2 linked regions of the Chlamydomonas reinhardtii genome follow. Each later gene encodes a partner of the first gene's protein in a complex. Links are inferred from orthologs where the notes say so. Each region holds a gene or a part of one and is shown in the gene's direction. Other genes may lie near its edges. The genes, in order: CHLRE_11g479750v5 and CHLRE_04g231026v5.

Region 1 (4,297 bases):
CATGTAGGCGTGTCAGCGCCTGTCATCATGCCGTGTGCACTGTGCAGTAACAAATGCTGAGTGGATCAGGAATACCGTGTTGCAGCCCACACCAATTCTGGTAACGCAGAGTGTGCCTGTGTGGTATTGCCCGGACCAGGGAACCCCTGGCCCGGACGCCCACTAGGTGTAGCAATGCTCGCGACTACTCACGGCAGCAAGCCCTCTTGCAACCAATGCATACTGCGTCACTGTGCGGCATGGGTGCGATGGCTACATCCCCGCCGGGTGGTCATCACACCCGAAAGTACATCGATGATGTACAAGCATCCTGCACAGGCTGCACTTGCACATCCTGTGGATCCCTCGTCACATTCTGGGACATGTACCAGTATACCACGACCTGCCAGCTGCGCCAGCGGTCAGCAGGAAGCAGCAATCACTGCAACACACCTAACAAGGCTCACGACTTTGACTTGTCCGCCACCTTGTATGGCCTATTGCCGCCGGACCGTCAACCGCAGCCCTGCATGCCTCCGTATGCCTCCGCCTGCCCCAAGAACCCTACCTCTGCCTTCCGTAGCCTGGGTGGCGCAGGACCGCGTGCCGTGTTGCCGCCTACCTGGTGCCGTACATCCCTCCGGCAGATGGCGGCGATTGCGCCTGTGCCCTGACCCTGACCCTTAAGTCTCCTTGAACGGCAAGGAGGCTTGCCGGAGGTGCGCCTATCCAGGGTAGGTTCTGCCCATGACCCATTCATTCATCCCCTATCTGACAAACAATATGTTGCAAACGTTACGAACAATGTTTACGGGGCATGAGGGCACAGCGACCTTGACAAAGACAGCATGTACATCACGGCAGCGCTTGCCCTCGCAGCATAGGACCTTCATAGGCTGCAAGCCACATAGGCTGCAAGCCACATGCCTTACTCCTGAGCTGGAAATTTTGTGGGCTGCTCCCTGGGAGCTGCCTCGCAAGGATTCACCTCGTGGGTTCACCGCGAGCGGAGGCGCGAGCCTAGGGACGTGTATGGTTTGGCACGACGCTGACCTGAGCTCGCGCGACTTGCTATACGATTTCAAGAAAGCATTACCTATGCTAAAATATTCAACCACCTCCCCCTTCAGGGCGGGAATCTGGGTCTGCCATCGGTGCCGCGCAGCTTGCAGAACTGCAAATCCATCGTCTTCAGAGAATCATTTTAACAAAGCTTTGCTTTTAGTGTAGCATACATATTAAGCTGTGGGGCTACGCGCGGCGCGGGAAGATATTGCTCCTGATTCCACCATCGCTAGATTTAACTTCTTACGTCATCAAAGAAATACTCTGGGCTGGTAATAAAACAAGTAGATCTGCAAACACTTGACTGGTCGCGCTGGTCACCATGCAAACTGCGCTTCGCGCCCGCTCTGCCGCTCCTCGCGGTGCCTGCAACCGGACTGCGGTTGCACCTGTTGCATCTGCTCACCTTCGTGGTCAGTATGCGCCCTTCAGCGGTGCCCAGGTGAGACGGCCTCCCGAGCCTTCTGGACCTCGGGGAGGTACATGGGAACCCTGGATACTGGGTACTGGGACTGGGATTGTGGGAACCACCGGGCGGCCGTGGACACGTGCAAGGCTCGAAGAGAATCTGGGGGGGGGGGTTGACGGAAGGGGGCAATAGGGTTGTTGGCACACCGGGAAGGGTGGTGTGCAGCCTGGTCTGCGGTCTGATGACGGCGCCTAGCAGGGGCCAGGCCTGTGTCCGCTAGACATCCCATTAATGGCCTCGCAGCCTAAGCGTGGGTGCAGAGCAAGGTTTGCGTGTTGCAGCGCTCCGCTGGTTTGTTCGAATAGTTTTGGTTGCGTGGAATGCGCGGGGATTCCGGATTCGTGTTCGTGCCTACCGCGGGTCGCCGGAGTCGGCCCCACGCGCCCATATGTCGGTAAAGTGGATCCTCGCGCTAGAACCCAGGTCGAGGGCGCTCCCATGCACGCCCATCTATTGCCCAGCAGTGCCTGGCAAGTAGCAGGCCTGTTCATGCCGTGTCCGCCCGCCCAGACCAGCGCGCCCACCCTCTCCCCTCTCTCGCTTTCGCGCAGCACGCACCTCCATTCAATGCTCACGTCCGTGCTCACCGCTGCTCTCGCTGCCCTCGCCAACTCCGCTGACCTCGCTGCCCCCGCTGCCCCCGCTGCCCCCGCTGCTACCCCTATCCCTCTCCATCTCCCCGCTCCCCGCTCGGCCGCCACCGCCTGCCAGGCGCGCCCCGCTCTTGGTCGCCAGCGGCAGCAGCAGCAGCAGCAGCGCCGCGGCGCGCTCGTCATCCGCTCGGCCATGTTCGACAGCCTGAGCCGCAGCATTGAGAAGGCGCAGCGCCTGATCGGTGAGAGGGAGCGAGAGGGTGGGGGAGAGGGGTTGGGAGAGGCGGTGGGAGGGAGCGGGCGGAGAGGGGAGGGAGAGGGAGGGTGAGGGAGGGAGAGGGAGGGAGAGGGAGGGAGCATGGGGCGCAGCACACGAAGGCCCGGAGCAGGGAGGGGCAAGGCGACATGAAAGCTGTGTTGTATTTGGGGGAGAGGCAAGGGGTGGAAGAGGGGGGCTCTGGGGTGTCAGGTGGATCGGACGGACAAGCTGGTAGGCAGGTCGGCTCCAGGCTGTGAGCCATGGGACACATGGGCAAGGAGCTGGGCAAGGAGCTGGGCAAGGAGCATAGGATGGTGGATAGGATGGTGGATAGGATGGTGGCTAGGATAGTGGATAGGATGGTGGATAGGATGGTGGATAGGAGGGACGATAGGAGGAACGAGCTGGGGGCTGTGAGTCACGGCGGCGGATGGGAAGGGCGACCGCAGGGCGCCGCCGGGGACTCCACAGGTGCCGTGTGCACAGGGCCACAGGCTGGGGGCGCTCCACGGGACACATGGTCAAGGCGCACACCGTACCCAGGCGCAAAGCGACATGTGTGCGGTGTTACCATACCGTGTCCCCACGGCTCGCGCCCCAGCCATGCCTCCGCCGCGCCTCTGGCGCTGCTGCGTCCTCTGCGTCGACTTACTAGCCAGCTTCTCGCTCGCGCTCGTACACACACACACACACACACACACTTTCGTTTCGTTATTTAACACACACACACACACACACACACACACACACACACACACACACACACACACACAGCGCACGTGCATGGGCGGACGCGCGCTCATGTCGTGTCCCTAAAACATGCCTGCACACTGGCGCGCAGGCAAGAGTGGCACTCTGACGGCGGAGAACATGAAGGAGCCGCTCAAGGAGGTGAGGGGTGGGAGGGGAGGGGTGGGGGTGGGGGTGTGTGGGGAAGTGCGTGTATCGTGGTTTGACCTGGGGTTTGGATTTGGGATTTAGCCTGCCAAGGAGGTGAGGGGTGGGTGAAGTGTTGTGTAAGCGAGTGCGTGTAGGGTTAGTGTCGTAGTCGTCGCCTGCATCCTATGTGGGGTGGAGTTAGTCTTGGCCAAGCTCAACCACGGGGCTAAGGGTTTGAGCCCAAGAACGCTTGGATGGAAATCGCGGCACGTATGGCCTTTGTGTGGAAGCGGCGGCCAGGATGGCACGGGCGACAGGAGGAGGAGGTGGAAAGGAAAGCGCGGCACGAGGGCAAGGGCGGTTGCCGGTGTGCGTAGGGATCCCAGGCGTGGTCGTGGCGCGGGGACGGTGGAAGAGGCGGCGCGGGTGACAGCTGCCCGTGTATTGTGCCAATACACGTGCCCTGCCACACATCATCGCTTCTTTTTTAGCCTTGCAACCCCCTCTCTCCCCCATCCTGCAGGTCCGTCGCGCTCTGCTGGAGGCTGACGTGTCGCTGCCTGTGGTGCGCCGGTTCATCAAGAAGGTGGAGGAGCGGGCGCTGGGAACTAAGGTGCGTGAGGAGCGTGTCAGTGAGTGCGCGAGGAGAGGGGCGCGCGATGGGAACAAAATGGAAGAGCGTGTGCGAGAGGCGTGGGGAATAGGAGCAGGGGTGGAGATGGTGGAGGGTAAACTGTCCACTGCAAGACGGCCTGGGAAACAGGGGGGTGGGTAGGGCCAGGACAGAGGTCGGGCATAGAGCAGCGTGTGTGCATGGCGCGCGTGTCAAGAAGGTACCACGGACTGACTACGCCACATAGCGAAGGCTCCGGACACTCCCACTGCTCCTTGTCATCCTCGCGGGCTCTGCGTCCCGGCTTCTGTGATGCGGATACCCATTCTGTGTTACGCCAATGCGCCGTTCCTCTCCATCTTCATCTCTGCCCCTCCCTGTCTGTCCCTCTCTCGCCGTCAACACTTGTGCCTGATCCGCTCCCCTTCCCCCCCTATACA
Region 2 (4,271 bases), on another chromosome or scaffold:
CAGGATTGCGCATTGCCTTCCCCACCCACCTATCCGCCTGCTCCACACGCACATATCCGCCTACTCACATACCCGCGCATACACACGCCGTCACCCGTGTCCACTGCCCCCTCCACCGCCGCCTCCAGCGCCACACCGCCCCTCCGACGCCCCCTCCAACGGCCCCTTCACCACCCCCCCTTCACCACCACCCCATCGCTGCCACCACCACACGCCACCCACGTGTTGAAGGCAGCTCCCACCCAGGTGAGGATGGGCGCCAGCTCGCGCGGCCCCTCGAAGTTGGCCAGCGACTTGCGCTGCTTGGCGACGAAGGCGGGGCCAGGCCCCAGCAGCAGCGAGGGGTAGGCGCCGATCTCAAATGCGCTGCACAGGTCCACCTGGGGAGCATGGCGAGGGGGACGAGGGGAGAGGGGAACGTTGTGGGAAGGCGCATGAGCATGAGCATTTACATGGGTTCGAGTCCATGTGGCCCCACTAACTCCTTTGAGTCCGGGGGCGCGTTAGGTAAACAGGCAAATGGCCTAGATCAATAGGAAGGCGCGGGTGTGAAGGAATGGGTACCCACGGTTTCGCTTGGAGGCCGGCAGCGCCCCTGCTGGCTTCACCTGCGCCACCCACGACTCCCATACGCAACCACTCGTGTACTAGAAGACAACAAATAAGATCCTTTGTGCGCGCGCTTGCACAAGCGATCGATCGACAGTTGCACAACCCCGCCCGCACCTCAGTTGCGCAGTCCACACGCGCGATGAAGAGTTTTCCTCCGTCAAGCTTCTGAGTGCTCAGGAACTTTGCTATCTTCTCGAAAGTAGGAGCAAAGTGTTTACACGCAGGGCACCACGACGCGTAGAACTGCAGTAGGCACGCAAATCTATGTTACCGCTATCCGCCGCTAGGTGTACAAATGCTTGGGGCCACTGAAGCTGTCCCTGGCGTGCGTACCTCAACGAGACATTGCTGGGTGGCCGTCTGCTTCCCTATAATGTCGGTGAAATTGGATACTGCAAGCTGAAGAGCAACGTGCGATGGCTCAAATACCATCGGCGTGTGGTCGTGTTGACTAGCTACAAAAACTGCCAGTTTCAAGCTCGCGAAGAGTGCGAGGAGCCATCTTGACCGCATTCTGGAGTTTATCTATCATCTATCTAGTACAAACCTATGATATTAGGGCATCGACAGGGGGTCGCGAGCCTGAAAAAAACTGACAAGGCCCTCATTGCAAAAATCTTCGCTGAAGGCCCTCGTCCTGCCGCCCTCCAGCAGTAGACCCAAAGGAGTGCTTTGATTAAATAAGTCTCAGCTCCTACGGAACCTGCAGGGGACTCTCCCGGCAAGGACAGGGGCCCCTGAACGCCGCTACTCCATTGCTAGATCCGCCTTTTCTTATTGACCTTTTACAATAAGACAAAAATGCTTATGCGAAAGCTGGCTTCGATTCCGGCCTGCACCGGCCGGAACCCTTTGCCGGTCGTGCCGAGTGTCGCGCCTCGCGCGCGACAGCTGACCGCTGCTGCTCCTGTGGCATCGAGAGTACACCAACAGCTCCTAGCTCCTGCTCGTGCGGGGCCTCCAGCGCTTGTGTATGCGGAGGGCTACAAGGAGGTCGAGGAGCTTGCAGGCGCGCGCGTCGTGGTGGAGTCGGATCCCCCGCGCGTCGAGTACCTAGTGAAATGGAAGGTGAGAGCTGGGCCGGGTGCAGCGCGACCCACCTTATGCTTCACGAGGTGTCGCGAGACATCTCCCGCGTCGACCATGCCATCCGTACCCCACCCCCCGTCCCAACCATCCTTGCTCGCTGCCCGTCAACCCCTGCCCTCTACCGCGCCGGGGTAGCGCCTAGCTGCTGCACTCTTCACCGCACTTCCTGCGCCCGGGATGCTGTCATGTGCCCAGGAGCCTGCACGCAGCTTACGCTCCCCCTCCCGCCCGCTCTTCCCGTCCCATTCCAATTCTTCCACAGGACGGATCTGACAGCACCTGGTGAGCTGGCAGGAGCGAGGCCGGGGACGGCGGCCAGGGCTGGGACGGCGGCCAGGGCCAGGGCTGGGGCTGGGGCTGGGGCTGGGGCTGGGGCTGGGGTTGGGGTTGGGGTTGGGGTTGGGGTTGGGGTTGGGGTTGGGGTTGGGGCTGACGGGACAGGAGTGTCCATGGCTGTTGGCTGGGCGAGGGTGGACTGGTCAGCAGCCGGGATGCCCCGGGGTTGAAGGGGGCAGGCACTTCCGGCGCACACGCCCCAGGCGGTTGCATTGGATCCAGCACGGCTGCACGCCTCACAGCACCCCGGCACGGCGCCGCACGGCGGCCGGGCGGGGTGTCTGGCGGCGGGTCTGGCGCACCCTGACAGAGGCGTACCGTATGGGCGCGTGCTTGCGTAGGGCCGTGTGCGGTGCTGGGTCACCCAGTCCTGTGGCCTGGCACCACACCCCACACGCCACCGCCTTCAGGCGCAGCAGCACGCAGCCATGGGCAGCAGCAGCCCAGCCCAGCCCAGCGCCGCTGCCGGCGCGGGTGTTGGGCTCGGGGCCGGGGCCCGGTTGCATGGGGCATGGGGCCCTCGGCGGGGAGGTCTGGCGGGTACCCACCCGTTGCCGTACTAGACACCGTCAGCACAACCCGCGGCTCCCAGTCCGGGGCGGCCAGCAGGGGGGCGGGGAAACAGACTGGGCGGTCTCCTCCCGCCGCGCCGCACGTAGCCTGCAATCAGCACTCCCTCGGCGCACTGCCTGGGCGCACTCCCTGCCAACACGCGCCCCCTTTCACACGCCCCCTTGCACACGCCCCCTTGCACGCTCCCTCCCTCCCTCCCTCCTCCCTCACCCTCCCGCCGCCGCTGTGCAGGGAGGTGGCTGCGGACCTGTCCGAGGACCTGGTGCGCGACTTCGAGGAGAAGTGGTGGGCGGCGGCACGCAAGGTGGGAGGCAGCAGGAGGAGCGGAGGGCGGAGCTGCTGTGGGGAGGGGCGTAACAGGGCATGGATGGGAGGGCGTGGGAGAAGCAAGAGCTGGGAGGAGCTGGGAGGCGAAGGAGGGGTTGACGTCAGGCTCAGGGCGCACGCCGTGGTGTTGGGGTCCTGACAGTGAGACAGCTTGCGCTTGTTGATACTGTGGCCATAGCGGAGGGGCCTGACATGGAGACGGCGCAGATGCGGGCACCGCTGGGGTCAAACCGCGGGGGCGGGGTGGGGGAGTGAGGTGGGCGACGGGAGAGCCACCCCACCTTTAAGGCAAGATGTGGCCGCGGGGCAGGGGGCGCTGCTGCAGGCGGTGGTCATAGGCAGGTGCGGCTGGCCAGGGATCAGGGGCCAGGGGCCAGGAACCAGCGGCCAGGGGCCAGGGGCCAGGAACCAGCGGCCAGGGGCCAGGGGCCAGGAACCAGCGGCCAGGGGCCAGGGGCCAGGAACCAGCGGCCATAGCGTCGTGCTGCGGCGTTGAGTCGAGGTGATCGGCGGAATGCGGGCGTGCGGGCGTAATGCCACCATCCCTGCATTCGTTACCCACCCCACCCCACCCCACCTCACCCACCCTACCCCTCACCCCCCAGGCTGACGTGGATGCCATGATCAAGATGCTGGGCGGCGGCCGCGAGCTGCTGGCGCACGTGGTGGACGAGAACAGGCGCAGGTGGGGGCGGGGGTGAGAGGGCAAAGGGGGGCTACACGGGCGTGGCGTGTGTGTTTCGTGACATGTCGGGCGGGGTCGCTTCCTGGTGGGGCGAGGAGGGCGAAGAATGGGGAAGAGGGGGAGTGAGGATAAACGGGAGGAGGGCGACGTGAGAGCTCACTAAGGAGAGAGGGCAAGGGGCAGGTGGGGGGGGGGGCACCAGGGTCGTGCCTGGGGCGTGGCGTGTTGGCACGGCGGCACGACCCAAACACCCGCCTCCCACCGCGCAAACCTACCTACCTACCTACCTGCCCACCCACTCCCTGTCTGCAGCGCGCTCCACTTCGCCGCCGCGCTGGGCTCCGCCGAGTGCACACGGCTGCTGGTGGAGGCGGGGGCGGAGCTGGACCTGCAGGACAAGGAGGGTGAGCGGGGGGAAGTGGGGGAGGGAAATGGGGAGCGGGGGAGGGGGAGGTGGGAGGGGGAGGGGAGGTGGGGGCCGAGGAGGCGTGGCTACATGGAAAGTCCGGGCCCAAAAATAGGTCCTGATTTAAGGGGTGAGCAGGGAGCGGAAGGCAGGGCAGGAACGGGAGTGATTTGGGCGTGCAGGATATGGAGGGGGCGTGGGGTGGAGGAGGAGGGGCAGGGCCTGGGCGGATGGAGGGGAGGA

What was found.
Region 2: the proteins of CHLRE_11g479750v5 (region 1) and CHLRE_04g231026v5 are in contact, whole or in part, in an NMR structure (PDB 2HUG), measured with the Arabidopsis thaliana proteins. The link is inferred for Chlamydomonas reinhardtii from reciprocal best matches to the Arabidopsis thaliana genes CPSRP54 and CAO. Residues at the interface, in NP_196014.1 of Arabidopsis thaliana: Pro532, Gly533, Thr534, Ala535, Arg536, Arg537, Arg539, Lys540, Ala541, Asp542, Ser543; in NP_566101.1 of Arabidopsis thaliana: Glu268, Tyr269, Ala270, Glu271, Val272, Lys283, Val289, Trp291, Glu298, Trp299, Val300, Lys301, His304, Val305, Ala306, Val309.

What each region holds. Positions count from the first base shown.
Region 1 is NC_057014.1:3,241,543-3,245,839, forward strand, and holds the start of CHLRE_11g479750v5 (uncharacterized protein), read left to right. Parts: upstream 1-1,203; 5' UTR 1,204-1,366; coding exon 1,367-1,486; intron 1,487-2,224; coding exon 2,225-2,348; intron 2,349-3,206; coding exon 3,207-3,256; intron 3,257-3,767; coding exon 3,768-3,857; intron 3,858-4,297.
Region 2 is NC_057007.1:3,927,294-3,931,564, forward strand, and holds the start of CHLRE_04g231026v5 (uncharacterized protein), read left to right. Parts: upstream 1-1,232; 5' UTR 1,233-1,413; coding exon 1,414-1,680; intron 1,681-1,963; coding exon 1,964-1,983; intron 1,984-2,841; coding exon 2,842-2,914; intron 2,915-3,542; coding exon 3,543-3,622; intron 3,623-3,934; coding exon 3,935-4,026; intron 4,027-4,271. Other genes in the region: CHLRE_04g230928v5 (uncharacterized protein), read right to left, coding at 223-380, 727-855, 946-1,044.